Anolis sagrei: one gene and its partners. The protein of the gene in region 3 purifies or fractionates together with the protein of the main gene of each other region. This does not show direct contact. Links are inferred from orthologs where the notes say so. Each region holds a gene or a part of one and is shown on either strand. Other genes may lie near its edges.

Region 1 (10,641 bases), on a different chromosome or scaffold from region 3:
TGCCCAATGAAAATTTTATGTGACCCCGAGTATATAAGGTAAAAATTTCCCCTTGACATTAAGTCCAGATGCGTCAGATTCTGGGGGGTGGTGCTCATCTCCATTTTGAAGCTGAAGAACCAGCGTTGTCCATAGATGCCTCCAAGGTCATGTGGCCGGCATGACTGCATGGAGCGCCATTACCTTCCTGTCGAAGCGGTATCTATTGATCTACTCACATTTGCATTTTTTGAACTGCTAGATTCAAACATATCTCCCTTTATGATTCGGTGTGACTGTTAAGATCTTCTGGGGACAGCTGCTCTCAGTTCTGCCTCCATTGCAGATGGGGGCACGAGAGACAGGGCCTTCTCAGTGGTGGCCCTACGGCTGTGGAACTCCCTCCCCAGTGACATCAAAACAGCCCCCTCACTCTTAAGCTTAAGGGAAAAAAACTTAAGACCTGGCTATTCAAGCAAGCCTTTGGGGATTAATATGACCCATAAGTATGATGAAATTTGTATAATGATGAAGCAATCGGTTTAATATTTATAAAGCTCAGTTGGTGCTAGACCTTTAATATGTTTTAATCATTTGAAAGATTATTTATAATTGATTTGTATGGGTTTTTACAGTTTTAATAATGTTTTATAGTTACTGTCAGAGTCTGGCAATGAATTATTGCCATAGTTTGTAAGCCGCCCTGAGTGCCCCCACCCCCCGGGGTGAGAAGGGTGGGGTATAAGTACAGTAAATAAATAAATAGTTTGGCAGAAGCTGGGGCTAACAGCGGGAGCTCACCCCACTCCCCGATTTGAACTGCCAACCTTTTGGTCAGCAAGTCCAGCAGCTCATCAGTTTAACCCGTTGCACCACCAGGGGCTCAAATACATAATACAAGAATAAAAACCAAACATGTACTGATAATAAACCAGCATTTGCAAGGCTTACTAAACAGGCTGGTTTTTCTCTTTGTGGAGTCCAGCTGAAGCAATTTCTGTAGAGTCCACTATAAACACTGCACCTTGTTGCTGAAAAGATTTGTGTAAATGTCAAGGTGGTGTTCGGAAACCTTTCCCATTTACCGAAAACATTTTTAGTGAGCCCAACACTGAACGAGGGAGACCCCATTTGGGGCCAGGGCCCAGTTTAAGAAGCAGTGCTGTAACAACAGAAGGCCAGAGTCACAGATCCTCTCCCACCCCTCCTTGTCTTTTGAGCACAAACGTTCAAGGTTGTTGTTGTTTTATAGGGTCCTTTGACGTCCTCAGCCTCGTAATCAGTGGAGGGCGAAAGGCACAACCACCACCCTTGACAACTGCTCCTAGAATCTGTAATCTCTTTTCCTGCAATTAAGCGGTTTATGTGGGGAGGAAAGGGGAAAGAGAAACAGCAACTCCTCCTGAGTGGGCCGCATATTCAAAGGTAAGGGCAAAGGCTTCCCTTGACATTGATGTTGGACTCTGAGGGCTGGTGTTCATCTCCATTTCTAAGCGTTGTGCATAGACACCTCCAAGGTCATGTGGCCAGCATGACTGCTTGGAGAGCAGGTTACCTTCTTGCCAAAGTGGTAAGCAACTGATCTAGCATTTGCATGTTTTTGAGCTGCTAGGCTGGCAGTATATTAGCAAGTACCAAAAGAGAAAAAAAAAAAGGACTAGGGAGGAATGGGGTGTGGAAGAGATTCCGCTCAACCGAGGAGCACATTTGGGCAGCAGAACAAGTTCGACCAGGATGGTTTTCTCCCCCCCCCCCCTTTTCAAAAAAACAAACAAACCCCAACCCATCACTCCTGGCTTCTAGTTCACCTGGGCAGAGGAAGCAGACGGTCTCCCATCCGTCCCTTTCGCCCTTGCTCCGCCCCAGGCGGCTAAGGGAGGCTGGGAGGCGCCTTCCTCGGCTGCCCGACTCCCAGAGGAAGCCCACCCGCTCCCCCTCCCTCCGATCTCCGCAGTGGCGCCACATTCCTCCACAGGCTCTGAAGTCTTCCCCCCTTCATCCTCCTCCTCCTCCGCCCCTAAAACACCCTAAATGCTGAGGATCCCAATGTGTAGAGAAGGCGAGGGCTCGGCGCCCTTCAGCCGCGCCCCTCCAAAGCAGCATTCAGCAAGCTAGCTCTCTCTCTCCTTCTCCCACCCCCGACCTGTCGAGCTGCCAGCCAGTAGCCCATTGGTCAGTGTGGCACAGGAGACTCAGGGTGGATCTATAATGCAGTTATAAACGAAAAGTCTCAGGTTTGAATCCAGGGAGCGGCGTGAGCTCCCGCTGTTAGCCCCAGCTTCTGCCGACCTAGCAGTTCGAAAACATGCCAGTGTGGGTAGATCAATAGGTACCACTTTGATGGGAAAGTAACGACACTCCATGTAGTCACGCCGGCCGCATGACCTTGGAGGTGTCTACGGACAACGCCGGCTCTTTGGCTTAGAAATGGAGATGAGCACCAACCCCCCCCCCCTCCCCGAGTCTAGACTTAATGTCAGGAGAAAACCTTTACCGAAAGCAGTTTTGATTCTGCATGATATGAGCACTGTAGTGGGGTACATCCATTCATTCTGACACACCACTTCGATGCTGTGGGATCACGGGAAGCGCGGTTTCAGAAAGTCCAAACTCAGCCTTCTCGGCTTCACCAAAAGGACAACCCCCCCCCCCCCCGGGGACGCCACAACCTCGAGCCACAGAAGTGGGGTCCAGAAGGGTCCATTCTGGGTCAGAGACACCTTTGGGTTGCCCCTCCGCTGCAGAAGGAAGGCGTTGGGAGAGCCCACGCCTCCCTCTGGCCAAACTGTACCAAATCCTGGGTTGTTGTAGGTTTTTCGGGCTATATGGCCATGTTCTAGAAGCATTCTCTCCTGACGTTTCGCCTGCATCTATGGCAGCCATCCTCAGAGGTTGTGAGGTCTGTTATGTGGTCTGTAAGACCTCACAACCTCTGAGGATGCCTGCCATAGATGCAGGCGAAACGTCAGGAGAGAATGCTTTTAGAACATGGCCATACAGTCCGAAAAACCTACAACAACCCAGTGATTCCAGCCATGAAAGGCTTCGACGATACATTGTACCAAATCCTCCAGCGGGGAAGGGTCCAAACTGCGCTCGTCCTCCAGTGTAGACGAGGGCAAACACACCGGGCCGGAAAAGGCGCTCCCTTTTCGCACTCCACGCCCCAAACTGCCCTCGCAAAAGGCACAGACCCGGCATTGTGCTGCCCAAAGGAGAGGAAGAATCGGGTGACTGTGCTGGGAATAGCCGGGCGGGAGAGAGAGAGAGAGAGAGAGAAAGTGGGTGTCGTCGTCTGCTTTGGGGCAGGCCTCACCTGGAAGAATGTGCCCTAGGTAGAGAAGGGGCCCAGGTGGTGCAATGGGTTAAACCCTTGGGCTGGCAGAACTGAAGACCCACAGGTCGCAGGTTCTAATCCGGGGAGAGCGTGGATGAGCTCCCTCTGCTAGCTCCAGCTCCTCATGCGGGGACATGAGAGAAGCCTCCCACTAGGATGGTAAAAACATCAAAAACATCCGGGCATCCCTTGGGCAACGTCCTTGCAGACGGCCAATTCTCTCGCACCAGAAGCGACTTGCAGTTTCTCAAGTCGCTCTTGACACGAAAAAAAATGAGAGCAGGACGACCGAAGTGATCAAGACCGATGTGGGGTAACTCCAGGGTGAGGACTTGCTCCACGGGGGGGGAGGGGGCTCCTCTAAGAAAAAATAAACCTCTACGAAAGGGGTTGAAACTGCCTTCAAACAGCAGGCCATTCAATGCTAAGCAAGGTGACCAAGTGCAACATTCACACGTACCTCCAAGCAGACAAGAGTTCTTTCTCCCACCCTGGGCATTCCACAGATATATAAACCTCACTTAAGTTTCCAACAGACCCCTCAACCTCTGCCATAAATGTAGGTGAAACGTCAGGAGAGAATGCTTCTGGAACATGGGCATACAGCCCTGAAAACTCACAGCAACCCAACCCCATTGGGCCCTTCCACAGAGCCCTATATCTCAGAAAATCCCACATTAGGCTCAGATAACCCAGCTCAAAGCAGATATTGTGGGATCTCCTGCCTTGATATTCTGTGTGGAAGGGCGCTTAGAAACTCCACAGTCTGGGGCGAGGGGTTATTTCTCCCCACAAGGGAAGGAAGGGGCCTCTCCAAAAACCACGCATTGTATGCTCAGTGTGGACTTGTTTCCTGCAGAGTGGGCGCCTCTCCTGCACTGACCACACAACTCATACAACGGCGTGGAAGGGACTCCATGATGTGGGTCTGCACTGCATGATTTGGGCCCGAGTCCGCCTCCTTTCCTTTCCCCTCCCCTTCCTTCTCCTCCGCCCAAGATTCCCTCTTCGTCGGCAATTTCGCACCGGACGCAGGGAACACCCTGATTTTTCCACGCCTCGTTCGCGCCCAGCCCGGGGAAATCACACTTTCCTGAAGCGGAAAGCCCGGGACGAAGGCGGTTCACCAAGCAGGGCTTGGCTGCTGCTGCTGTTGTTTGTCCCTCCCGAGGCGGGCCTCTCCTTCCTTCCTCCCTCCTTCCCTGCGTCCCCACCCGGCCTCCCTCCAGGACAGGAATCGAGTCTTTGCCGCAGCCTCCCCGCCCTGGCTTCCCCTCCCATCATCCCCAAACCCGGAGAGCCCACAAGTCAAGCGAGAGAAAAGGGGGATTGGGGAGCCTCCCCGGCTTACTTGGGCTCTGGGAGACGAAGAGGGCGACCCGCCCAGCCGCTGCCCAACTTCACGGCCCCAGAAGAGAAGCTGAGCCGCTTCACGCGCTGCTGCTGCTGCTGCTCCCGCTGCCTTTCCTCCGCCTCCAGTCCTCTAGTCTGCCACAGGCTGGGGAAAACCCCTGGATTTCCATAGAGGAGGAGGAGGAGGAGGAGGAGGAGGAGGAGGAGGAGGAAGGGGGCGGGAAGGAGGAGGACGAGGAGGAGGGGAGAGCAGAGCAGAGGAGAGGGCGCCTGGGAGGAAGCGCAGCGCTTTCGGACCGCGGCTCTCCTCCGCTCCGAGTTTGGGAGGAGAAAGGAAAGGAGAGGCTGGCTCCTCTTGGGTTTCCTTCAAACTCTGCGAAGCCGCAGCGCCGTGGGTCCCCCCGCCTGTCCCCCTCCCCGCCTCTCTCTCTCTCTCTCTCTTTTCAAACCCAGCCTTTCCCCAAGCGGAGTCCCGCCTGCTTGGAGGAAAAGCTCGTCATGGCAACGCAGCAGCCAAGCCCTGCCACAGACTCAGCCCCGTCCTTCGCAAAAGGGAGGCAGCGAGGCTGTTAAGGTGGTTTCGCGCTCAACCGACTCCTGGTTGTGCCTGGCTTCCCTTTTAAGGGGGAAAGGAGGAGATGGCGGCGCCTCGAGGGGAACCCACGTGAAAGGAAGGGAAGGGAAGGGGGGAAACGACCCTCTTGGAGGCTTAGAAGACCACAAGTTGTGGGATGCAGCAACTAAAAAAGCCAATGGGGTTTTACATCAAAAGAAGTGTAGTGTCTAAAAAAAGCCAATGGGATTTTGGCCTGCATCAATAGTCTAGTGTCAAGATCCAGGGAAGTCATGCTACCCCTCCATTCTGCCTTGGTTAGACCACACCTGGAATACTGTGTCCAGTTCTGGGCACCACCATTGAAGCAAGATATTGACAAGCTGGAATGTGTCCAGAAGAGGACGAGTAACATGATCAAGCGTCTGGAGAACAAGCTCTATGAGGAGTGGCTTAAAGAGCTGGACATGTTTACCCTGAAGAAGAGAAGGATGAGGGTAGACATGATAGCTATGTATAAATATGTGAGAAGAAGTCATAGGGAGGAGGGAACAAGCTTGCTTTCTGCTTCCCTGGAGAATAGGACGCAGAACAATGGCTTCAAACTACAAGAAAGGAGATTCCATCTGAACATGAGGAAGAATTTCCTGACTGTGAGAGTTGTTCAGCAGTGGAACTTTCTGCCCCAGAGTGTGGTGAAGGCTCCTCCTTTGGAGACTTTTAAACAGAGGCTGGATAGCCATCTGTCAGGGGTACTTTGAATGCAATTTTCCTGCTTCTTGGCAGGGGGTTGGACTGGATGGCCCATGAGGTCTCTTCCAAATCTATGATTCTATGATTCAGTGGTTCCCAAATTTGTTCTTAAGTTGAATTTGTATGTAAGTCAGAACAGGTACATTTTAAAGTGTAACTCCAGCCAAATATATATACTTTATGTATAAGTTTTGGATAGCACAGAGAAGTGTTGACACCCTTGTAGTGTTTGCTTTGCTGTCTGTGTCCCTGTTCAGAAGATGTTACCTCACTTTCTGTCCCTGTGATAATTGGATTTTGAAATTTGTCTTCTGGAAACAAGGATTTGTGAGAAAGCATCAGCATAGAACACCCCAGCAAGCGAGAGTTCAAAAGTGGCAGGCTCAAACCCAGAACCTCAACCAGTGGCTGATACCAAATGAGAGACTCCCCCTGGGCACACAGAAAACTGGGCAACTTGGAAGGCGCTGAACAGACTGCGCTCTGGCACCACGAGATGCAGAGCCAATCTTAAGAAATGGGGCTACAAAGTGGAATCCGCAACATGCGAGTGTGGAGAGGAGCAAACCACTGACCACCTGCTGCAATGCAACCTGAGCCCTGCAACATGCACAATGGAGGACCTCCTTGCGGCAACACCAGAGGCACTCCAAGTGGCCAGATACTGGTCAAAGGACATTTAATCAACTACCAAGCTTGCAAACTTTGTGTTTTGTCTGTCTGTTTGTTTGTTTTGTTAAAAATGTAATACAAATGTCTGGTTGCTGATGACACAATAAATAAATAATTATCAGCAGAGATATCCCTATGATAACTCTTTCAGAAGTGAATTTCCTTTCTGAGGGTGAGATTTCTCTCACTTCTTGTCTCACCCACATTCCTAATTATGAGTCATTTGTAAGTCAGATGTTTGTAACATGGGGACTACCTATACAGTAGAATCTCACTTATCCAACATAAACGGGCTGGCAGAATGTTGGATAAGCGAAAATGTTGGATAATAAGAAGGGATTAAGGAAAAGCCTATGAAATGTCAAATTACATTACAGTGGTCCCTTGCCCTCTTTACCTTCCTCTTCCTCCTCCTCATTTCCACCTGGGCCTCTTGCCGCCGCTTGGGCCCTGCAATTGAGGAAGTGTCGCGAGACCCAAGCAGTGGTAAGAGGCCCAGGCAGCAATGAGAAGGAAGAAGAGGAAGGTAAAGAGGGCGAGGAGGGAAGAAGAGCTGCCCCTTTGCCCTTTTTACCTTCCTCCTCCTCCTCCTCCTCCTCCCCACCTGGGCCTCTTGCTGCCGCTTGGGCCCTGCGATTGAGGAGGCAGCGGAGGTGTTGCAGGGCCCAAGCAGTGATAAGAGGCCCAGATGGTGACGAGGAGGCAGAAGAAGGTAAAGAGGGCGAGGAGGGAAGGGGAGGTGGTGTCCCTACTTCACGGAATTACACTTATTGTGAATGGTCCTGGAACATAACACCCACAATAAGCGAGGGGCCACTGTATGATTTTACAAATTAAACATCAAAACATCATGCTTTACAACAAATCGACAGAAAACGCCATTCAGTACACAGTAACATTATGTAGTAATTACCGTATTGACCAATTTAGCACCAAAACAGGCAAGGGTTCTTTCTTTCTCCCACCCTGGTCATTATTCCACAAGTAAACATACACTCCATTTTCCTCACCTGTGAATCCCTGTGGGTGGCAGACTGCGTTGGTTAATACAGAACTTTGGATACGCGAAGGTTGGATAAGCGAGACTCTACTGTAATTCTTATTCAAAAAGTAAATTCCTATTCACACGGAGGAAGCCTAAAAGGCCATTAACTTGGTCTAAACAAGCTTCCAAAGAACATGACATTCGTGAAAGAGAAAAATAAAAGAACAGAATGACAGCTGAACTTCTGAGGAAGAAAACACTACAACATTTTTAAAATGTGTATGTCACAATATATACTTATATAGTGTATATATGAGGCCCCCATTGGCGCGGTGGGTTAAAACACTGAGCTGCTGAACTTGCTGACAAAGGCTGGTGGTCCAAATCCAGGGAGTGGTGTGAGCTCCCACTATTAGCCCCAGCTTCTGCCAATCTAACAGTTCAAAAACATGCAGATGTGAGTAGATCAATAGGTACTGCTACGATGGGAAGGTAACAGCGCTCCAGGCTGGCTGCATGACCTCATAGGTGTTTACGGACAATGCCAGCTCTTCAGCTTAGAAATTGAGATAAGCACCACTACCCAGAGTGGGACACAACTAGACTTTCTGTCGGGAAAACCTTTACTATACAAGGCCCCTAGACAATGCAAAACATTCACTGTTATTAACTCATTCTCGAATAGCTCCCTTTAAAAATCAAATTGCCCCCCTGTGGGGCATGTTCCCCATGTTGGAAACCAAGCCTCTAGATCAAGGGAAGTTGTGGTGTCCCTCTATTCCGCTTTAGTCAGACCTCACCTGGAATACTGTGTCCCGTTCTGATCACCACCATTCAAGAAGGATATTGACAAGCTGAATGTGTCCCGAGGAAAACACTTAAAATGATCAAATGTCTGGAGCAATGCCCTATTAGGAGTGGTTTTAAAACTTGGCATGTTTAGCCTGCAGAAGAGAAGGTTGAGAAGAGTTAAGATAGCCATGTTTGAACATTTGAAAGGATGTCACAAGAAAGAGGGAGTGGGCTCGTTTTCTGCTGCCCTGGAAACTAACAACCTCATAATTTGGGGCTATTTTCGGTGGGATACTCCAGTTCCTCTGCAGTTTTGCGACTGAGTCTGTCAGATCCCACCACATGACTTGGAAGCACTTCTGGCGGGGCTCCGTCACAACACCGAAGAGGAAGCAGCATATGCCGCCAATGTGTCAACATGGGAGGCTCTTGTGTTGCATTGGGATCAACGGGGAAGTTGGGTGGCAAGCACTTCCCCCCCATAGGATGAGGTAGGGGGGAAGTTGGGTGATGCAGGTTGTGGGGCAACGGATACCCCCTGCTGGGCAATGTCAGATTCACCATGATCTGTGGCAATTTCGGCAGCATATATGATGAAGTCATAGGATTCCAGGTAATGGGTTGAAGTTATAGGAAAGGAGATTCCTCCTGAACATTAGGAAGAGCTTTCTGACTGTAGCAGCTTTTCAACAGTGAAACTCCACCAGTGATGGCTTCTTCTTTGGAGGATTTTAAACAGAGGCTGTGTTATCGAAACACCAGGATCCCTAACTCACCAATAGTTGCATAAGCACTACATACACACCCCACACTGCAGGGCAGGGCTCAACATTAAGAATAACCCTACTCCCTTCACAATGCCCTGGAACTCAGAAAGAGCCACAGGGTTCTTTCCAGATTTTATCTCAGTATTTTCCTGGGAACATTTCCTCATCCCGATTGCCAGATCAGATCCCCTCCCTGGGAATCCCATTCAAAGAGTGCCAACATACTCAGCACTCATTGTATGGTCAGTCAAAACCCATTGTCCTGTTCTGGCCAGACAGGAGCAGAGCCATCAAATCCCATTACCTCTGATTCACTCATATTATTTCCTCCCTACTGTCATGAAAGGCGGAATGAGAAACAGACACAAGACTTCAAACTGAGCAATGACAATTTATTAAATTTCTTTCATACCTGGGGGCAATCAACAATTACGCAGGATGGCACTCCTAGTCCTATCAGGGAGCAGATACGAGCTGGTCACAATCTTGACCGATGTCAAATGCTATAAATATTTCTGTATGTTTACACTGAGTTATGTCAGTCTTTGGAGTGCAGACTTTACTGACAGACTCTTCTGACCAAAGGAGAATAAAGTCTTCATCCTGACTCTGTTTTGTTTGGTCCTTTGGGGAACTTTACACACTGGACTTCTGAACCTGTGGACGTTTGAATCTGTGATACTTGCAGAACTGAAATCACTCAACAGCTGGATGGCCATCTGTTGGGGTGCTTTGATTGTGCTTTGCCTGCATAGCAGGGGCTGAAGTGAGTGGTCTGTATGGTCTCTTCCAACTGTATGATTCTAAGATTTCATTGATCAATGAGGTGCTAGCAAAGAATGGGAAGCATGAGAAACTTTGGAGAGGTTAGCTTGTGTGGATGCTGTGGGCCATTATTCAATGCCACAGCTCTAAAGAAAAGGTAGAAGGAGAAGATGAAGAGGAGGAGGTGGGATTCTGTTGATTCTACCACCCACCCACCATATGTCTTTATACCAGAAAATTGTCAAGAAAAGAATAAATGGTAGTGTGGTAGGAAGAAAATCAATTCATTTTAAATGTGGAGCTGAATTGGAGTTTGAGAAAATATGTGATGAATAAAAGGGCCCCAAAGCAAATCAAGTTTGAACTCTGTCTAGAAGCCAAGATGACTAAACTGAGATTGTTATAGAGTGTGAAGACATGACTCACTAGAAAAGGCAGTAATGTTTGGTAAGATTGAAGACAGGACGAATAGAGGAAGTCTGTTTTCTATGTGGAGGGATACCACCACAGCTGTGAGTTTGCAAGACCTGAATAGATGGAGATGTTGTGACTTGGAAGTCTCTCATTCAAGGGGTCACCATAAGTCAAAGCCATCTTGATGGTAGTTTAAAATAATAAGTGGGAATTGTAGTTCTATATTGTTTTAGGAAGGAGCATACCTGGCTTCTTCACAACATCTTCATGG
Region 2 (10,190 bases), on a different chromosome or scaffold from region 3:
TTAAGAGGCGAAGTACTATTGTCTTCCTCTGAAAAATAACTTTTACAATGCCTTCTCTCCCCTGTCTGTCTTCCATTCAACTACAGGTTGAGCATCCCTTACGTGGAATCCAAAAGTACTCTAAAATTGTTAATATGGATGGCAGAGTGCTTTTTAATTGTTCAGTGAACACACAGTTTCATGCATAAAATAATTTAAAATGTTGTGCATAAAAATTACCTTGATGCATAAGGAAGTGAAACATAAATTAATTCTGTATTCACACTTGGCTCTCAACTCCAAGATATCTCAAAAACAGGTATTCCAAAATCTGAAGAAAAAAAATCCAAAATCCCAAACACCTTCTGCTCCCACGTATTTTAGATAAATGATGCTCAACATGTATTGTCCACACATGGCAAGACCACAGCCCAAGAAGCATGTTTGGCACCCAATGACTAACACATGCACTACACCTGTCTTTGAACAGAGACTGGTATTTGGAGGAACTTTAGCTGACTAATTCAATTCTATTTTAACAAGCTGTTCAACAGTGGAACTCTGCCTCGGAGTGAGGTGAAAAATCCTTCCTTGGAGGCTTTTAAACAGAGACTGGAAAGTTATCTGTCAGGGGTGCTTTGATTGTGCTTTTCCTGCATGGCAGAGGATTGGACTAGATGGCCATGCGGTCTTTTCCAACTCTATTAGTCTATGATTCTAATATATGTATAATGCGGATTTTAAACTGCACTTGTAACACTGTTAGCCACTTTGCATCTCAATCAAGAGATTAAATAATAGCTTCTAACAGCTGGCAGGCGAGAGTGCAAGGGCCTTGCTCTTCCCCTGAGGAACTGCAACCTTCACTTGATCCTCATGAAAAAAACGTTTAAAACTGATGTTTGTTTTTATACCATTTTATGTTATTCTTAATTGTTTTATATTTTTATTATGATTATTTTAATTGTTTTACAAGCCACTATGTATACATTTGTAGAATTATTATATGTGTCTGATGGTAAGTTTTAAATTCTGGTATTCCTAGTCCCCTTAATTTCTGAGAAATATACCATAAGCCTCTCAATAGCCTAGATCTTCTACTTCCATTACAAAATCCACTGACTAATTTCTGCCATTTTTTTAAGATCAACATGTGGCAATTTAATGGGTAACATATTACAAAATAAGTTAAATTTAGATAATATTTTCATTTTAAAAATGCCTATTCTGCCAAACTATGAGAGATTTTTTTTTGTATTCCAATAGTCTTTTTTAGATTTTCCTAACTAGTCTATCAAAATTTATTTTTTAACTCTAAGTAATTAACAGGTATTGTGACTCCCAAATACTTAATTTTGTTTCTTAATTGATCCATTATTTTTTCTTTGTCCTATGGATATTATACCTAACTTTAAAAAAGTCCTTTAACTTTTCCTTAACTTCAGATCCACAGGTGCAGTTGGGTTCAGTTATACAGTATAGAAGTGAGGACCACAATATCTTTTTCACAGCAGTACATGTGAAAAAGATCTTGGGAGTCCTCATGGGCAACAAGTTAAACATGAGCCAACAATGTCATGTGGCAGCTAAAATAACCAATGGGATTTTGGTCTGCATAAATAGGAGTCTAGTGTCCAGGGAAGTCATGCTACCCCTCTGTTCTGCCTTGGTCAGACCACACCTGGAATCCCACTGTGTCTAATTCTGGATACTGCAATTGAAAGAAGACATTGACAAGATGGAATGTGTCCAGAGGAGGGCAACTAAAATGGGCCCGGTCCTGTTCAACATCTTTATTAATGATTTAGATGAAGCGTTAGAAGGCATGATCATCAAGTTTGCAGACAACACCAAATTGGGAGGGATAGCCAATACTCCAGAGGACAGGAGCAGGATTCAAAACGATCTTGACAGATTAGAGAGATGGGCCGAAACTAACAAAATGAAGTTCAACAGGGACAAATGCAAGAGACTCCACTTAGGCAGAAAAAACGAAATGCAAAGATACAGAATGGGGAAAATGCCTGGCTCAAGAGTAGTACATGTGAAAAAGATCTTGGAGTCCTCGTGGACAGCAAGTTAAACATGAGCCAACAATGTGATGCGGCAGCAAAAAAAAGCCAATGGGATTTTGGCCTGCATCAATAGGAGCATAGTGTCTAGATCTAGGGAAGTAATGCTACCCCTCTATTCTGCCTTGGTTAGACCACACCTAGAATACTGTGTCCAAATTTGGGCACCACAATTGAAGAGAGATATTGACAAGCTGGAATGTGTCCAGAGGAGAGCGACTAAAAGGATCAAGGGTCTGGAGAACAAGCCCTATGAGGAGCGGCTTAAGGAGCTGGGCATGTTTAGCCTGAAGAAGAGAAGGCTGACAGTAGATATGATAGCCAGGTATAAATATGTGAGAGGAAGTCACAGGGAGGAGGGAACAAGCTTGTTTTCTGCTTCCCTGGAGACTTGGACGCGAAACAATGGCTTCAAACTACAAGAAAGGAGATTCCATCTGAACATGAGGAAAAACTTCCTGACTGTGAGAGCCATTCAGCAGTGGAACTCTCTGCCCTGGAGTGTGGTGGAGGCTCCTTCTTTGGAAGGTTTTAAACAGAGGCTGGGTGGCCATCTGTCAGGGGTGCTTTGAATGCAATATTTCTGCTTCTTGGCAGGGAGTTGGACTGGATGGCCCATAAGGTCTCTTCCAACTTTATGATTCTATGATTCTATCAAGGGTCTGGAGAACAAGCCGTATGAGGAGCGATTTAAAGTGCTTGGCATGTTTAGCCTGCAGAAGAGGAGGTTGAGAGGAGACATGATGGCCATGTGAGGGGAAATCATAGGGAGGAGGGAACAAGCTTGTTTTCTGCTGCCCTGGAAACCCAGGACGCAGAGCAATGGCTTCAAACTATAGGGATGGAGATTCCATCTGAACATGAGGAAGAACTTCCTGACTATGAGAGTCGTTCAGCAGTGGAACTCTCTGCCCTGGATTGTGGTGAAGTCTCCTTCTTTGGAGGCTTTTAAACAGAGACTGGATGGCCATCTGTAGGGGGTGCTTTGAATGCGATTTTCCTGCTTTCTGGCAGGGGGTTGGACTGGATGGCCCATAAGGTCTCTTCCAACTTTATGATTCTATGATTCTATCAAGGGTCTGGAGAACAAGCCGTATGAGGAGCGGTTTAAAGAGCTTGGCATGTTTAGCCTGCAGAAGAGGAGGTTGAGAGGAGACATAGAATCATAGAATCAAAGAGTTGGAAGAGACCTCATGGGCCATCCAGTCCAACCCCCTGCCAAGAAGCAGGAATATTGCATTCAAATCACCCCTGACAGATGGCCATCCAGCCTCTGTTTAACAGCTTCCAAAGGAGCCTCCACCACACTCCGGGGCAGAGAGTTCCACTGCTGAACGGCTCTCACAGTTAGGAAGTTCTTCCTGACTGGCCATGTGAGGGGAAATCATAGGGAAGAGGGAACAAGCTTCTTTTCTGCTGCCCTGGAAACCCAGGACGCAAAGCTTCAAACTATAGGGAACGAGATTCCATCTCCTGACTGTGAGAGCTGTTCAGCAGTGGAACTCTCTGCCCTGGAGTGTGGTGGAGGCTCCTTCTTTGAAGGCTTTTAAACAGAGGCAGGAAGGGGGTGCTTTGAATGCGATTTTCCTGCTTTAAACAGAGGCTAGATGGTCATCTGTCGGGGGTGCTTTGAATGCGATTTCCCTGGCAGGGGGTTGGACTGGATGACCCACGAGGTGTCTTCCAACTCTATGATTCTATGGTTGCAGTTCCCATTATCCCCAGATAGTAATCAAAAGTGGTGGGAGTTGTATTTAATAACATCTCCGGGTAAAAATTAAAGAGGACGGACCACTGTGTACAAAAATCGTAGTTGTCCCTCTGTACCCAAGGAGAACCCAAGGCAAGGCTAAAAATGTGCTGGAGATCCCTGCTGTGGTGTGAAGCCACAGTGGAAAGCGGCGCCTGCCTCCACAGAGAGAGAGGGTCCGCGCACTCGCCCTCCCCCGCCTTCTCCCCTCCCTCCCGCTCGGGCCCTGGATTTGGGCGGAAAGAAAAGGCCCCTACCGAGTACACGGGCGGCCCCCGTCGTCGGGCAACCGCCCCGGCCGCCGCCGCCATCTCCGCGCCTGCTCAGCAGTCCTCCCTACGCGGCTCCCTCGGCGGCGGCCTTCGAGCCCAGCCCGGAGGGAAGGAGGAAGAAGAGAGGGAGGCAGTCCCTCAGTCAGTAGGGGAAGAAAAGCGGAAGTGCTCTGTGGGCGCCGCCATGTTCGCTGCGACGGTGGTCGCGCGGGACCAAAATCCTTCGCCTTGACGCTTCTTCCCCTTCCTCCTCCGTCTGGTGTTGTCTTTCCGCCCTCACGTTGGTGGAGCGAAGAGCAGCATGGCCAGAAGAACAGTAGAGGAGACAGAGGAGGGCGAGCAGGAGCCTTCCGCCTCCGCCGCCCGCCTCCTCCGCGGCGCCTTGGACTCCCTCTACGACTTCGGTGCGTCTCGGCCTCCGCCTCTTTCTGATGCCTGGGATTGAACCTGTCCTGTCAATGCAGTGCTGTGGAATCCCAGGTTGAGGACCAAGCAGGCCCCATGACACTTCAGTCCTGAAGGCCCTTCCTTGGGCCCAGAAGGAGGAAGGCCTGTTAGGCCTACACCGCCTGCTTTGTGGCACACTCTCCTACCTAGAGTATTGACCAGGCACCGGCAAACTTTGGCCCTCTGGGTGTTTTGGATTTCAACTCCCACAATTCCTAACAGCCGGTAGTTAAAATCCAAAACACCCAGAGGGCCAAAGTTTGCCCATGTTTGCTATCAACTTACTTTACTTAGGCGATCCCTCGTTGGATGAGTAGGATAGTCTTTCAGGATCAGTATTCTTGTGGATCCGTAGGTGACTGTGGAGGCCTATTCTTGACCTGCATCTTCTCCCACAGTGAGGGTATTGGTTTCCACATGGAAGGCGGTCTCGTTTGCGCCTTTCTCTTGGCACGTTTTTCTCTTTCACCCTCCATTCGTGACTCTTCAAATTCTGCAGCACTGCTGGTCACAGCTGACCTCCAGCTGGAGCGCTCAAAGGCCAGGGCTTCTCAGTTCTCAGTGTCTATGCCAGAGTTTTTAAGGTCGGCTTTGAGCCCATCTTTAAATCTCTTTTCCTGTCCACCAACATTCCGTTTTCCGTTCTTGAATTCGGAGTAGAGCAACTGCTTAGGGAGAAGGTGGTCAGGCATCCGGACAACGTGGCCAGTCCAGCAGAGTTGATGGCGGTGGACCATCGCTTCAATGCTGGTGGTCTTTGCTTCTTCCAGTTTGCTGGCATTTGTCTGCTTGCCTTCCCAAGAGATTTGCAGGATTTTCCGGAAGCACCACTGATGGAATCGTACCAGGAGTTACATGTGACGCCTGTAGACAGTCCACATTTCGCAGGCATATAGCAGGGCTGGGAGGACAATAGCTTTATAAACAAGCACTTTGGCATCCCTACGAGGCCCTGTGCTTAAGCTCACCTAACTCCAGAAACTGCCTGGGAGTTGTAGTTTTACAAGATCTTTTAGCCTTTTCAGCCCAAGAGTGCTGGTACCTCAACAAACTACAGATCCCATCATTCCAAATCAAGCCCCCAGTGGCGCAATGGGTTAAATCCTTGTTCTGGCAGGACTTAGGACCGACAGGTCAGAGGTTCAAATCTAGAGAGAGTGCGGATGAACTCCCTATGTCAGCTCCGGCTCTCCATGAAGGGACATGAGAGAAACCTTTCACAAGGATGGTAAAACATCACAACCTCCAAGCGTTCCCTAGGCAACGTCCTTGAAGAGGGCCAATTCTCTCACACCAGAAGCAACTTGTCAAGTCGCTCCTGACATGAAAAAAAAATTCATTCCAAAGCATTGAATCCATGCGGATTACTGCCCTGCCTTAACACTATGGGATCCTGGGAGTTGTAGCATAGCGTGAGGTGCCATCATGGGACAACCTTGGTCTGCCTTGGTCAGATCACAAATGGAATGCTGTGTCCAATTTTGGGCACCATAATTGAAGGGAGATGTTGGTAAGCTGGAGGGCAACTAAAATGATCAAGGGTCTGGAGAACAAGCCCTATGAGGCATGGCTTAAAAAGCTGGGCATATTTAGCCTTCAGAAAAGAAAGCTGAGAGAAGTGATGGCCCTGTCTAAATATGTGAGGGGAAGTCGGGGAGAAGGGAGCAAGCTTGTTTTCTGCTGCCCTGGAGACTAGGGGCCCTTCCACAGCCCTATATCCCAGAATATCAAGGCAGAAAATCCCACATTATCAGAGTGTGGACTTAGATAACCCAGTTCAAAGCAGATATTGTGGGATTTTCTGCCTTGATATTCTGGGATATAGGGCTGTGTAAAATGGCCGTAGGAAAGAAGATTCCACCTGAACATTAGGAAGAACTTCTTGACAGAGAGAGCCGTTCAGCAGTGGAACTCTCTGCCCTGGAGTGTGATGGAGGCTCCTTCTTTGGAGGCTTTTAAACAGAGGCTGGATGGCCATCTGTCAGGTGTGCTTTGAATGTGATTTTCCTGTTCTCCGCAGGGGTGGGCTGGATGGTTCAGGAGGTCTCTTCCAACTCTATTATTCTGTGATTCTATGACCTTGTAAAACAACAGCTCCCAGGATTCCATAACATTGAACCATGACAGTTGAAGTGGTGTCAATCTGCATTAATTCTACAGTGTAGATGCACTCTCAATCTGATTTTTGGTGTGATGCCTGATGCTTTTGGCTAAAAAGCAGAGAGCAAACATTTTACAACAGTTCCAGGTGGTCTTTCAGTGCTTCACGTTAATGGTTTTTTGTGCTTCTTCCTCTAGCAGGACAGTGCTAGGAACAGCCCTTAGCCACAGTGTCTGTCTCAGAGCCTTCCAACCCATGTATTACGACATGCTAGTGTGTTGGCTGCAGTGTGTAGGTGTGTCACACAAATGTGACGAGACATGACACAACATCTTAGAAATGTAGGCTTAACAAAAATATCTTAATTTTAAAAACATATAAATGAAAAGTTTTCATAAGTAATGTTGTATCCCTATACATTTTGTTGTTACAGTGTATGTATGTGCACTTATTTCTTATAAGGGATTGGTTTAACCTCCAGTTTGCTAGTAAAACCGAATGATTGCTGTGAAATGAGCCATGCCTAAGAAGTGTGTCATCATCATGGCAGGTTTGGAAAGCTCTGGTCTATTTGTTTGTGATAATATGCAGTGTTAGTCTCTTCCAGCTTCCATGACCCAATCAGAGATCTGTTGATGATGGTGGTGAGAAAGGATTTGGCTCTTTCAATTCAGTTCTACTAAGGCTGTGAATCCTGTTTCTGTTATTGGTTAAAACAGTGGTTGGATATGTCTACACTACACTATTATTCACTCCTATTAATAAGATTGAAGGATTGACCTAGATCAAATGGTTTGGAATCTGACCAGAGGTGGTAATAATAATAATAATAATAATAATAATAATAATAATAATCTTTATTTGTACCCCGCCACCATCTCCCCAAAGGGACTCAGAGTGGCTCACAGAAGCACTCCAAGTGCCACATGCAGACAACAGTACATAAGTATAAATACAATGACAAGTATAATAACTGCATAAAAATCTCAATACATTTTTAAAATTTTGAAAATTATAAAATTCCTAAAATGTAGGTTGATACAATCTGCCCTTGTAATAATAATAACAATAATAATAATATTTATTTGTACCCCGCTACCATCTCCCCAAGGCACTCGGTGCGGCTTACATGAGGCCAAGCCCAAAGTACATCAAACAAAACATCAATAAGCACAACATCAATCATATAAATCACATAAACAAAAAAAATCAATAGTGACATAAACAATTTTAAAAATGGCTGGGCCAAATGTAATAGATTAAAATTGAAAATATGCTGATGTGAACAAGGTAAAATATAACAAGGATAGGATTTTTCGGAGAGAAATGAGGGAGTACAGTCCATCCTATGTCAGTATTAAAGTGCATATTAGGACATATTGCTGAGAGTTCTCCTTATTCTGGGAAGGCACACTGGAACAACCACATTTTCAGGCTCCTCCTAAAGACTGCCAACATTGGCACATGTCTAATGTCCCTGGGAAGTGGGTTCCAGAGTCGGGGGGCCACCACTGAGAAGGCCCTCTCCCTCGTCCCCACCAATTGCGCCTGCGAAGGAGGTGGGAGCATGAGCAGGGCCTCTCCAGATGATCGAAGAGATCGTGTGGGTTCGTACACAGAAATGCGGTCACGCAGGTAGGCGGGTCCCAAACCGTTCAGGGCTTTGTAGGTAAGAACCTGCACCTTGAATTGGGACCAGAAAATGAATGGCAGCCAGTGGAGCTCCTTAAACAGGAGGGTTGACCACTCTCTGTAAGTCGCAACAGTTAGTAACACAGCTCTAAAGTAAGATACAGTATCTATTTCCTGTTTGCTTGGTATTTATTAACAGCAGTAATATTGAACCCCACGCATCCATGGCTTATCTCAGCATCATATCTCCTTGTCTTTGTACTTGAAAGAGAAGTGATCTCATCTACCTGAACTGTGGGTTTTCAGTACTCTTCCTTTATCAAATTAACCTTTCAATCTATTCATTGCATCTGGACATGGCTTCTGTTATATGATATACATCTCTGTAATCAGTTCCTGACTCCTATGCATAGTTTCTATCCATAATTCCTATTCATAGCCACCCACATCTGATTCTTTGGCCATGCCACCTTTCTTTGCATCTTTCCCAGGTGTTGTTATCTATGAGTAGTTAGAATCCAAAGGCCTGCTAGACAGTTTTAAAACATGTTTATATCTCCTGGTTTGTTATGTGACATGGATGGCTGCTATTGTATTTCAAAAATCCTTTATCAATATGGAAACTCAAGTCGCTTCTGATGTGAGATTTGGCTGTCTGCAGAGACGTTGCCCAGGGGATGCCCAGATGTGTTATCGTCCTGTGGGAAGCTTTTCTCATGTCCCCTCATGGGAAGCTGGAGCTGACAGACAGAAGCACACCCCATCAGGAATCCTTCCAATTATATGGCTGAGTTAAATGAGATTTACAACAATTTTATCTCAAATTCTAGGTGAATCGTTGCTAAATGGAAATAAAAAGAATAAGAGAAAAAAGAAAAACTCACAAGAGAAATTCGCAATGACTTCCAACAATAATCAATCAGAAGACAAAAGGGTGACTCTTGAGTCTGGCACAGCAGTATCAAACAAAAGGAAAAATGACTTCTTTGAAGAACTGAAAAATGAATGGGTATCTGACTTTATTAATAAGAACAACAATGCAACAGAATGTAGATCCCCAAATACGACCACACAGAAACCTGCTCAGCAGGAAAATGCTTCAGATATTGAAGTGGTGACATTCCATGGTCGACACAGAAAGAAGAAAGTTAAACTTGAAGCTCCTGAAATTGATTGCTCCAAGGTAAGATTCACATGATATGCAGTAGCAGAAAAGTGAATAGCTAAGTTTTTTTCTTGAAAAAAACATTCAAGAGTTACTAGCCAACCTGCCCACCTACCTATGCTGAATTGCTGGCAAAAGGTGGTAAATGGCCTTGTTTGAATACAGAAGCTACTCTGTTGGGCCATTTGGAAGCAATTCCTATTCAGTTGCTAGGAAGGTGAACAAAGAGGCAAGTGGCTTTTGTGTTCTATCTTTCATGTTGCTAGTAGCCTAGCTAAAAAGCCTTTAATTAGCCACACCTTTAGTACCGAACTTTGCTTATGAGCTTTATATTAAGCCAAGATATTAAGCAAATTCTGATTCCCTATTCTAGCTTGTTTCCAACGAAGCTCATGTCACAAAGGGGCTGCATAGGTAGACAAAAGGCTTGTTACAGTTTCGCTTATTAAGGCATTTTGCAGATAAAATATCTCACATAAGATAGTTTATCTGCGATAGATGCTGCCATTAGGGTGCAAGCCATCAAAAAGCATCCAGCAACTCTGTGAGTGGGATTACAATGGATCAGTTTCATTTGGTGTGTACTCTTGATATGGACAAGCTGCTGGGGCAAGTAAGGACAGATGCTTTCTTGATTCCTGTCCCTCTTGGCTGGTCATCCAGGGAGGAGATGCAATTCAGCCTCAATTACAACAAATTATTAATGCATCTCTCAGGAATTTTACATCCTGTTTAAAAGAAGCAGTAGTTAGACTGCTGCTGAAAAAGCCAT
Region 3 (10,672 bases):
CGTTCTCTCCTTCCTTCTCTACCTCTTTCCTTCCTCCCCCCTTTTTCTTTCCCTCCTACTTTCTCTGCTTTCTTCCTTCTCTCTTTCTCTCTTTCTTTCTTTCTTTCTTGAACTCCTTCCTTCCCTCCCTCTTTACTTCCTTCCCTTTTTTTTCTGTATAGTCATTTAGCTTTCCGTCATTTAGCTTTTGGGGGTTTTAAGTCCTTTCCGCTTTTTTGGGGGGAGGTTATGAGTGATGGTCACTCGTTGGCCGGTTAGAGGTATAGCATCCAAATTTCGTGTCAATTCGTCTAGTGGTTTTTGAGTTATGTTTATCCCACAAATGAACATTACATTTTTATTTATATAGATTTATTACAACTGAAGGGAAATCTAACTCCCCAAGACTGGTCTCTTTAACCCCTGCTCCCACAATGTTCTTTCTGTCCAAAATCTGGGACTATGCATCCCTTCCTTTTTTTTTTTCAAAGGTTCTCTTATGAAGGAGGATTCCATCACATGAGTCCACAATGAAATAATGTAAGCATCCATAAGAAGCAAAACTCAGGATGTAGCAGGAATGACGGGCAGAACTAGGATCCCCAAAGGAAGAGCCCAGGCGAATCTGAGTGCCCACTGTCCCCTCATGGCCTCCCTATCGGAGCAAGCCTTGCCTTTCTTTCAAATCACCAAACTGCTATTCATTAGTACACAAAGCAGAGTGCAAGCCAGGAGAGGCTTGCAGCAATCAGAGCCAATCTAGCACGTCCCCCTCTCCCTCTCAGGGTGGCCCACTCACAACAAGGATTACATAAAGGGCATGTGCGTAATGCATCTGTTTCTACACATGCCAAAGTGATGTGCTGCTGCCTCCACCCCCCTCCCCCGCAGCCCACCTATGAAGAGATTTCTGCAACACAAGAATCCTCTGTTTACCACACTGATTATAATAGAGATGATACTGAGGGCTTATCTTCCATTATTAATATTACAAATGCTTTACATGTATTTGTATTTCCATCTCCAAAGGATTGATATTTAGACTGTAGATTCTTCAAAGCAAAGAATACTTCGGGTATCTGCCTGATCCTTATTATCACAATCCAGGCAGTATGAGCATGCTTAGCTATATGGAGCAAAAAAGGCTGAGAGAAGACATGAGAGCCATGTTTAAATATTTGAAAGGATATTACATTAAGGATGGAGTAGGCTTGTTCTTCTGCTGGATACAATGGAGAAATGGCTTCAAACTATAGGAAAAGAGATTCCATCTCAACATTAGGAAGAACATCCTGACAGTAAGAACCGTTTGTGGAATATGCTGCCTGGAAATCCAGTGGAGTCTCCTTCTCTCGAGGTTTTGAAGCAGAGGCTGGATGGCCATCGGCTGGGAGTGCTTTGGTTGTGTGTTTCTGAATGGCAGAAGGGCGGTGGACTGGATGTCTTTGGGGGTCTCTTCCAACTCTAGGGTTATATGATTCTATGACTAAGGCTTGTAAAACAGTGACTCCCCTTAGCTGTATGATCAATCCCTGTCCCATAATGCATTGCAGGGCTGTTTTATCCTGTTGTTCTCCCACTCCTCTCATTATGAAACAGCTCTCTCTTCCTACTGCTCTGCTTAGCCCACATCATATTATAGGGCAGCCTTCTCATCCTCACTCCCTTCATTATTCCAGTTACAAGACCCTACTTACTTTGCCCAAAAAGCACAGCACAGGACAGCGGTGCTCTCATTCCCGCTACCTGTTCCCAGTTCCAAGACTGGAATCTCCCCAGGAAGAGGGATTCCACCTCAACATTAGAAAGAACTTCCTGATGGGAAGAACTGTTCGGCAGTGGAATATGCCTTCTTGGTGTCGGTGGAGTCTACTTCTCTGAAGGCTTTTCAGCAGAAGCTGAATGGTCATCTGTCAGGACTGTTTTGATTCGGTCTTCCTGCATGTAAGGATGGAGTTGGGCTGGATGGCCCTTGGGGTTTCTTCCAAAGTCTATGATTGTGTGGTTTTTTTAAGAAAAAATTCTTCAGCAGAATCTGTGGGTGCAAAGTCCATGGCTATGGAGGGCTGGCTGTATTAAGCATTATGCTATACAGGCAGTCCCCAAGTTATGAACAGGATAGGTTCTGTAGGTTTCTTCTTAAATTGAATTTGTATGCAAGTCTGAAAAGGGACATTTTTAACTATATATATATATATATATCCATATATATCCTTTAGCTCTGGATAGCATAGGGAAGGGTTAACACCCTGTGGGGTTATCTTTCTGTCTGTGCCCTTGTTCAGTAATTTCAGCTCACTTCCCGTCCCTGTGATGATTGGATTTTTGGTAATTTGGCTTGACGTGGAAACAAGGATTGGTGCTAAAGATTCAGTGGAGACCCCTTTTCCCCTTGATAATTCTTTCAGAAGTGGATTTCCCTTCCAAGGGGTAGATTTCTCTCACTTCTTGTTGTCTCACTCTTGTTCTTAACTGTAAGTCGAATGTTTGTAATACAGGGAATGCCTGTATATGTATGTGAATATGGAGGCCCCATCTTCCCTGGTAAAATCTGGGGAAAATCCTTTTATTTAAATGTTGCTAAATGGACGCCCTTCTGTGAATCCTTTCTTCGTAATACGAATCCAGCGAGTTTAATATATATATAAAAATCCGTCTTCCGTTTCACTTCCCAATGACATAAAGACCCTGAGGAAATGTCCCCTCCAAACAGTGAATTTCCTGAATTTCCCCTTAGAAATGAAAACTTCAGAGACTGAAGATCCCCCTCAAATTTCAAATTAGCTCTCAGGATTTTGCCTGTGGATAAGAAATTTCCCCTCAGGATATGTAATCTATTATCAGATAATTATATTTTGCCTTCAGGATAAGAAATTTCCACCTCAGAAAATAGAATTTTCCTCTCAGAATTTTAGATTTACCCTCAGAATATGAAATTTCCCACTCAGGATATGAAATCTCTTCTCAAATAATTATATTTTTCCCCTCAGGATATGAAATTTCCCCCCAGATAATTATAGTTCACTTTCAAAATATGACATTTCCCCTCAAAATAAGACATTTCCTCCTGGAATTTTAAATTTACCTACAGAATTTAAAATTAGCCCTCAGTATATAACATTTCCCCTTCAGGATACAAAATTTCTTCTCAGATAATTATATTTCGCTTACAGAATATGAAATCCCCTCCACCCCTCAGAATACAAAAATTCCTCACAGAATTTTAAAATTTCCCCTCATGGTATAAAATCGATTATCAGATAATTATATTTCACCTTCAGAATATGGAATTTTCCTCTCAGGATATTTAATTTTTTCTCAGAGTATTACCTTCCCCACTCAGAATATGAAATTGCCCCTCGGGATATGAAATTTCCATCTCAGGATATATATTTTTTTCTCAGAATAAGAACTTTCCTCTCAGAATATGAAATTTCCCCCTAAAGATATTATTTTTTTCTCAAAATATTTAATTTCCTCTCAGAATATTACATTCCTGCCACAAAATATTAAATTTCCCCCTAAGGATATTAAATTTCCCTCTCAGAATATTGCCTTCCCCCCTCAAAATATGAAATTTCCTTCTCAGAATAGAATTTTCCCCACAGGATATGAAATCCCTTCTCAGGTGGGGTTATCCTTCTGTCTGTGCCCTTGTTCAGTAGATTTCACCCCACTTCCCGTCCCTGTGATGATTGGATTTTTGATAATTTGGCTTGACGTGGAAACAAGGATTGGTGCTAAAGATTCAGTGGAGACCCCTTTTCCCCCTGATAATTCTTTCAGAAGTGGCTTTCCCTTCCAAGGAGTAGATTCTCTCACTTCTTGTCTCACCCTTGTTCTTAACTGTAAGTCGGATGTTTGTAATACAGGGAACGCCTGTATATGTATGTGAATATGGAGGAAATCTGGGGAAAATCCTTTTATTTAAATGTTGCTATCGGAGCAAAGATCCTTTTATTTGAGGATTTTGAAACCCAATTTAAAGAGGCCTTGCCTTCAGAATATGAAATCTCCACCCCCGGATATGAAATTTCCCTCTCAGAATATAAAATTTCCCTTCAGAATATGAAATTTCCCCCTCAGGATATGACATTTCTTCTCAGGTTACTACATTTTCACTTCAGAATATGAAATTCCCCCTCAGAAAATTATATTCCAACTTCTTAATATGAAATGTTCCTCTCAGAATATAATTTTCCCCCCTCAAGATATGAAATTTCTTCTCAGATAATTATATTTCAACTTCAGAAGATGAAATCCCCTCACAGAATACAAATATTCCTCTCAGAATTTTAAATTCTCCCCTCATAGTACGAAATTTCCCCTCAGACAATTATATTTCACCTTCAGAATATGAAATTTCCCCGCAGGATATGAAATTTTCTCTCCGAAAATTACTCCCCCCCCCCCCTCAGAATATGAAATTTCCCCCTCAGAATATTTAATTTCCCCTCAGAATATGAAATGTCCCCTCGAAGCCTTATATTTCCCTTCAGGAATGGAAGCCCTTCCGCCTCGGCGCCTCCTTCCTTCCCTGCCTGGACCTCTTACCCGCGGCCGAGGCGCCGCTCGCACAGCAGAGCCAGGCGCCCAAGGCCAGCACCAGCCTTCTCGCCACCATCGCCCTCATGGCTCCCGCTGCTTCTGCCGCTCCGTCGCTCTGCTCCTCTCCTCAGGAATGGCGGACGCCTGGTAACCCCCCGGAGGCGGAGAAACCGAGGAAGAGCCAATGGCCGACGGGCGCGAGCCCCGAGAGGCGCCGCTATTGGCTCCACCGCCCGAGAAAGCGGGCCAATCCGATTGCACGCGAGGAAGGACGGTTGAGGACGGCAAGAAGGGGGAGAGGGTGACGTCAAAAACCCCAGCCAATCAGATACTTTAGCCTGCCCGGTGGGAGGCGGGGCTTCAAAGGGCCTTTGATCGACAAGCTAGCCACCTATAGGAAAGATTAAAGGAGGCAGGACGGGCCGGAAACCGAAGTCACTCCCGCAAGGCATCTCAGGCTACTACACCAGGTCACGTACACACACACAAGAGGCGGTCGCTGCCATCTACGTCAAGCACGGGCACTGGCCAATCGTGGCGCCGATTCTCACGACTGGCGTTACCCAAAACCAATGAAACGTGCGAGCTAACTACGAGCCCCACCTACTCATGTAAATAGCACTAGAGGACTCAGATTCTTAAAGAGACCGCAGCCACTTTAGAAGAGGAAAGCAGACTATCATATCATCTCATCTGCAAAAGTTTAAACTCATACATATTGTCAGCTTTAGCTTGCAGCTAAATTATATATTTTATATAGCATTATAATAATTATATATATACAATACATATTATTATTATAATATATATGTCTGTATATACATTTAATATAATATATTTTATATTATATAGCATTATAATAATTATATATATATAATACATATTATTAATATAATATATATGTCTGTAAAATATATAATTTAGCTGCAGGCTAAAGCCAACCCTTAATATTTGTACTCTGTATTAATATTTGTTATAAATTATACAAATTATATGTTTATATACTTTTAAATATCTATTTTTCACAATACAAAGCCTGGCCAAGTCTATTTGCTTGCCATTTCCTTGTGACCGTTAGAAGAATGGGATGGCCCTCCATCAGGGTTGGACCAGATACCCTCTGAGGCCCCCACTGGTTTTTAGGAACTCTTTTACACCTTTGACCTTAATCTGGCCCTGAGCAAATTTATCTCTACTCTGGAAAATTATGAAGAGAGGGAATTGTTACAAGTTGGAACGGGATTATACCTTTGTATCGATACGTCTGTATGAACAGTTTACGCCAACCATAAGGCCACACAGGCTGGGGATGATAGGAGCTGTACTTACTTAGGCGATCCTTCGTTGTCTGGGTATGATGGCCTTCCAGGTGGCCTTTGGGTAAGCTGGCAGATGGATAAAAGACAATGACGACCAGAGTAAGAAAGGACAATGACATTGCTAGATGGATTATGGATTTATGAATTGATGAACGTTGACCACAAGATGATTTTATTGCTCTTGTTGTTTTAATTTGACTGTTTTAATTAGTTATAACTGTCATCGTTATATTGTAAATTGTATATTGTATTTTGTGAATTGTTGAGCATCGAATTGTGCCTTTTGTAAGCCGCCCTGAGTCCCCCCCTAGGGGGTTGAGAAGGGCGGGGTAGAAGCACTCCAAATAAATAAATAAAAAGGTAAGTGTAGTTTCTGGGCATTGGATACATTGGTGATTGTCGAGCCCTATTTTTGACCCGCATGTTCTTCCATAATGAGGGCATCGGTTTCCAGGTGGAAGGCAGTCCTGGTCAAGGTTGGCTTGATATGCCTTCTTCCTCTTGGCACATTTCTTCCTTTCACCCTCCATTTGTGTCTTTTCAAATACCACAGCACTGCTGGTCACAGTTGACCTCCAGTCAGAGCGCTCAAGGGCCAGGGCTTCAGTTTTCAGTGTCAATGCCAGTTTTTAAGGTTAGCTTTAATCCCACCTTTCAATCTCTTTTCCTGTCCAACATCATTCTGTTTTCCATTCTTAAGCTGGGAGTATAGTAACCGCTTTGGGAGACGGTGATCGGACATTCGGATGTGACCAGCAGTGGAGTTGATGGCGTAAGAGCATCGCTTCAATGCTGGTGGTCTTTGCTTCTTCCAGCATGCTGACATTTGTCTGCGTGTCTTCCCAAGAGATTTGCAGGATTTTTCGGAGGCAATGCTGAAGGAATTGTTCCAGTTGAGTGTGACATCTGTAGACAGTCCACGTTTCACAGGCATATAGAGTTGGGAGGACAACAAGTTTTATAAGCAAGCACCTTGGTCTCCCTACGGGTGTCCCAATCCTCAAGCACTCTCTGCTTCCTTCGGAAAAATGCTGCAATCGCAGAGCTCAGGCAGTGTTGTATTTCAGTGTCACTGTTGACTTTTGTGGAGAGGTGGCTGCCAAGGTAGCGGAAATGGTCAACATTTTCTAACATTAAACCATTCAGCTGTATTTCTGGCATTGCAGAGGGATTGGCTGGTGACTACTGGAAAAGCACTTTGGTTTTCTTGATGTTCAATGAGAAGCCAAGCTTCTCGTATGCTTCTGCAAAGGTGTTTAGAATGGCTTGTAGGTCTTCTTCTGAATGTGTACAGACTATGCTATCTATCATCAGCATCCTGGAGTTCTATAACAGATGTTACTGTGAACTTGGTTTTGGCTTTCAGTCTGCTGAGGTTAAATAGCTGTAGTACACCATCGGAGATGAAGATCAAGAACATATCAAACACAAAAAGTACGTTCCATGGACCAGGCTGCTCTCCGCAGCCCAATCTATGTTTTGGGACTTCAAAGCCGTTCAGAAAAGTAACTTTCCCACCACTTTTTGAAGTCAGACTTCACAAGCAAGCTGTTTGCGAGGCTGCCACCCCAAAAGGCACTTTCCTTTCAAAGTCCTTTTTATTAAATAGCTTCAAAACCAAGAGGGAGAAACCAATTAAACCCCAAACTCCCCCGAAACACGGAACAAAACCACAAAAGCAAAATAAACCCCCCAAAACGATTGTTACAAAGAAAAGGCACCCCCCCCCATGTTCGCAAAAAAAATATCTCCATTTCTTGTCATTCTGAAGGGGACGCAAACATTCCCAAAGTGAAAAGACAATGCAGTGGAAAGACGGCCAAGCAGTGCCTCCCAGTGGCTGAGTGAGGAACCGGACTCTGTAATTCCCACATTTCTAAAAAAAGGGAAAACACCAATTAATGGAAGGAGGGGTGCTCTGGTTCTCTTAGTGCCTTTCCATCCGCAAGCTCAGATGCCCCTCATTCAGAATTAAAGTCTTATAGTGTAATAAATGTTTTTTAAAAAATAAATGGAAGCAAAAACGTTCAAAACACCCAGTGCTGCGTCTTGGTGCTTCGTCTCAATGCGACCGAGAATGAAACACCTGGGGAATCAACAATCCCTCTCAAAAATCCCTATGATTAACTCCTCCTCCTCTGCACAAAACACAAAACAAACGCTAAACCAAAAGCCAAATGGTCAATCTATCCCCCTAAAAAAGAAAGAATTCCTCCCTCCCCATCCCAGCCACTTCAAGCAGAAACCAAGTCTCCCTTTTTGAGGTAGAGTTCTCTCTCTCTCTCTCTCTCTCTCTCTCTCTCATTCTCTCTCATTTCAATTCGGGGCAAACAGGGGTTCCAAAGCCTCAGCCGGATCCATCCTGGGTTCAAGTAAAAGAGTCAGATAGTTTATTGCTACTATCAGGAGCAGCAGCAGCAGGAGGAGGAGGCAGCGTTGGAAGGGGGCAAAAGGGAATGGGGGGAAGGAGGAAAGGGGCAAGGAAGGGGGTCCTCCTTGTCAAGACTCCTCATTGCCGGAATCATCCTCGTCGCCATAGCAGCTGTCCACCTCGTCGTCCATCTCGTCGTCCTCATAGTAGTCGTCATAGAAGAGGTCCGAGCCCTCGTCTGGCGCCGGGGTCTTGGTCTTGACGCAGTATTCTGCCAGCGTGGTGGGGACCTTGACGCCATCCCGCTCGGCCTCTGCCTTTGTGCCCAGCACTTGCTTCCTGCCAGGAAAGAATAATAGAACACTAGAGTTGGAAGAGAGCACATGGGTCATCTAGTCCAACCCCCTTCCTCTATGCAGGAAAAGCAGAATCAAAGTACTCCTGACAGATGGTACTTTAAAAAGCTTTCAAGGAAGGAGCTTCCACCAGATGCTGAGGCAGAGAGTTCCACTGCTCAATAGCTCTTACAGTCAGGAAGTTCCGCCTCATGTTCAGGTGGAATCACTTTCCTGTCATTTGAACACATGGCTACATTGAGTCCATTGAAAACAAGCCCGCTCCCTCTTCCTTATGCCATCCTTTCACATATTTATGCATGGCGATCATGTCTCCTCTCAACCTTCTCTTCTGCAGGTTAAACATACCCAGTTCCTCATAGGGGTTCATGGTCTCCAGACCTTCATCATTCTAGTTGTCCTCCTCTGAACATCTTTATCTATTTTTAACTATAGTGTCCAGAATTGGAACAGTATTCCGGGAAAATAGGTCTGACCAAAGCCGAATAGAGAGGCACCATGACTTCCCTCAAACTAGACACTATACCCCTTTGCCTTTCTTAGCTGCTGCATCACACTCTTGGCTCATGTTCAACTTCCTGTCAACAAGGACTCTAAGATCTTTCTCACAGGGACTGTTGTTGAGTCAGGAGTCCCCCATTCTGTGCCTTTGCATTTCATTTTTCTGCTTAAGTGTCGTATCTTATGTTTGTCCTTGTTAAAATTCATATTGTTAATTTTGGCCAATCAGGTCTCTAATTTGTTGAGGTCCTTTTGCATCCTGATCTTGTCCTCTGGAGTATTAGTTCTCCCTCCTAATTTGGTGTAATCTGCAAACTTGAGAAGCATGCCCCCTAAACCTTCATCAAAGTCATTAATAAAGATGTTGAACAGAACCGGGGCCAAGACCAAACCCTGCTAATGGCACTCTACTTGTCACTTCTTTCCAGGATGAAGTGGAATCATTAGTGAGCAGCCTTTGGGTTCAGTCACTTAACGAACTATAGAAAGATGGAAGAAAGAAGGGAAATGGCATTGCAATTGGGATTGACTCTCAAGTTCAAATGACTCCGAATCCAATGTTAATACAAGAGAGTTTCGGCATCCTTCTGGCTTCTCGGGGTCAAATGCAGGAGGGCAAGGGTGGTGGTGGTGTACTCAGTTGACCATCTCCTCTCCCGTACAAAACATACCTCTATCGACCCATGAACGTTCTAGCTATGAATAGTTTTTAAATTGATTTTAACTGTCTTATTTTTAATACTGTTCATGCTTAACTCTATTTGACATGTTTGTACACCATAGGTTTTAAACTGTATTGTGTTGGTTTCATTGTGAGCTGCCTTGAGTCGCCTTTTTATAAATTTCAAATCTGTTTTTTTCATGAGTCCACTGACCATATCAACAATGAAAGACAAAAACAAAGGTACACGGACAAATAGACCTTAATTACTATGCTAAAACTTCAGTAATAGTTAACCAAAATAAATTAAAACACAATAATACTTGATTAATCTATACACAAAATAAAAGTGAAAATATGTATCTGTATCTGGCTGGGGTGTCCACTTACACAGACAAGCTCCCACCTCCTCAAACAGCTACTCAGGAGACACTAATGGCCCTCCCTCCAATGACATTGCAAGTTGTAGTGAGTGCCGTGAACATGTCCTAGAGCCCTGCCAATGTCCTCCACAAATGCCATACTGCCCACCACCCAAGTGAAGGTTTTCATACGGGGACAATTTCCACCTAGATTGTATGTGTTTCCTCCACCACAGACATTCCAGTGTTTGTTCCTCTCTCCACTGGTGTGGAATTTGCATGATCCCGCCCGCTGCCTCTCGCATAACCCTTTCCTATTCTTTCCTATGGCGCACAGCAAACAGAGGAATTGATCAGTAACTGAACATACTGGAGGGGGAACTGGCTCAACATGACAGAGGTTGTAGGTCACTCTACATCAAGACACACCACTGTGACCTCCACTGACAATAGACCTGGACCACATTTGGTATACAGAACCCCCATGAGAAATGCAAAATACTGGAGAAGTTTGGGAGGAATTCATCTTTATTTCTAGGAGTTGTAGGTACTGGGATTTATAGTTCACCTGCAAT

What was found.
Region 1: the proteins of BSG (region 3) and ATP2B4 purify together in Homo sapiens (affinity purification with mass spectrometry; 3 studies listed by BioGRID and IntAct, counting the BioPlex papers as one, with this or other methods). This does not show direct contact. The link is inferred for Anolis sagrei from reciprocal best matches to the Homo sapiens genes BSG and ATP2B4.
Region 2: the proteins of BSG (region 3) and GNPAT purify together in Homo sapiens (affinity purification with mass spectrometry; 3 studies listed by BioGRID and IntAct, counting the BioPlex papers as one, with this or other methods). This does not show direct contact. The link is inferred for Anolis sagrei from reciprocal best matches to the Homo sapiens genes BSG and GNPAT.

Annotation. Positions count from the first base shown.
Region 1 is NC_090024.1:191,986,619-191,997,259, reverse strand, and holds the start of ATP2B4 (plasma membrane calcium-transporting ATPase 4), read right to left. Parts: upstream 5,097-10,641; 5' UTR 4,668-5,096; intron 1-4,667. UniProt on the Homo sapiens protein: Calcium/calmodulin-regulated and magnesium-dependent enzyme that catalyzes the hydrolysis of ATP coupled with the transport of calcium out of the cell. By regulating sperm cell calcium homeostasis, may play a role in sperm motility.
Region 2 is NC_090021.1:62,109,284-62,119,473, reverse strand, and holds the start of GNPAT (dihydroxyacetone phosphate acyltransferase), read right to left. Parts: upstream 4,194-10,190; 5' UTR 4,113-4,193; coding exon 4,059-4,112; intron 1-4,058. Other genes in the region: C1H1orf131 (uncharacterized protein C1orf131 homolog), read left to right, coding at 4,375-4,477, 9,084-9,436. UniProt on the Homo sapiens protein: Dihydroxyacetonephosphate acyltransferase catalyzing the first step in the biosynthesis of plasmalogens, a subset of phospholipids that differ from other glycerolipids by having an alkyl chain attached through a vinyl ether linkage at the sn-1 position of the glycerol backbone, and which unique physical properties have an impact on various aspects of cell signaling and membrane biology.
Region 3 is NC_090034.1:52,358,792-52,369,463, reverse strand, and holds the start of BSG (basigin), read right to left. Parts: upstream 4,679-10,672; 5' UTR 4,613-4,678; coding exon 4,534-4,612; intron 1-4,533. Other genes in the region: CDC34 (ubiquitin-conjugating enzyme E2 R1), read right to left, coding at 8,346-8,556.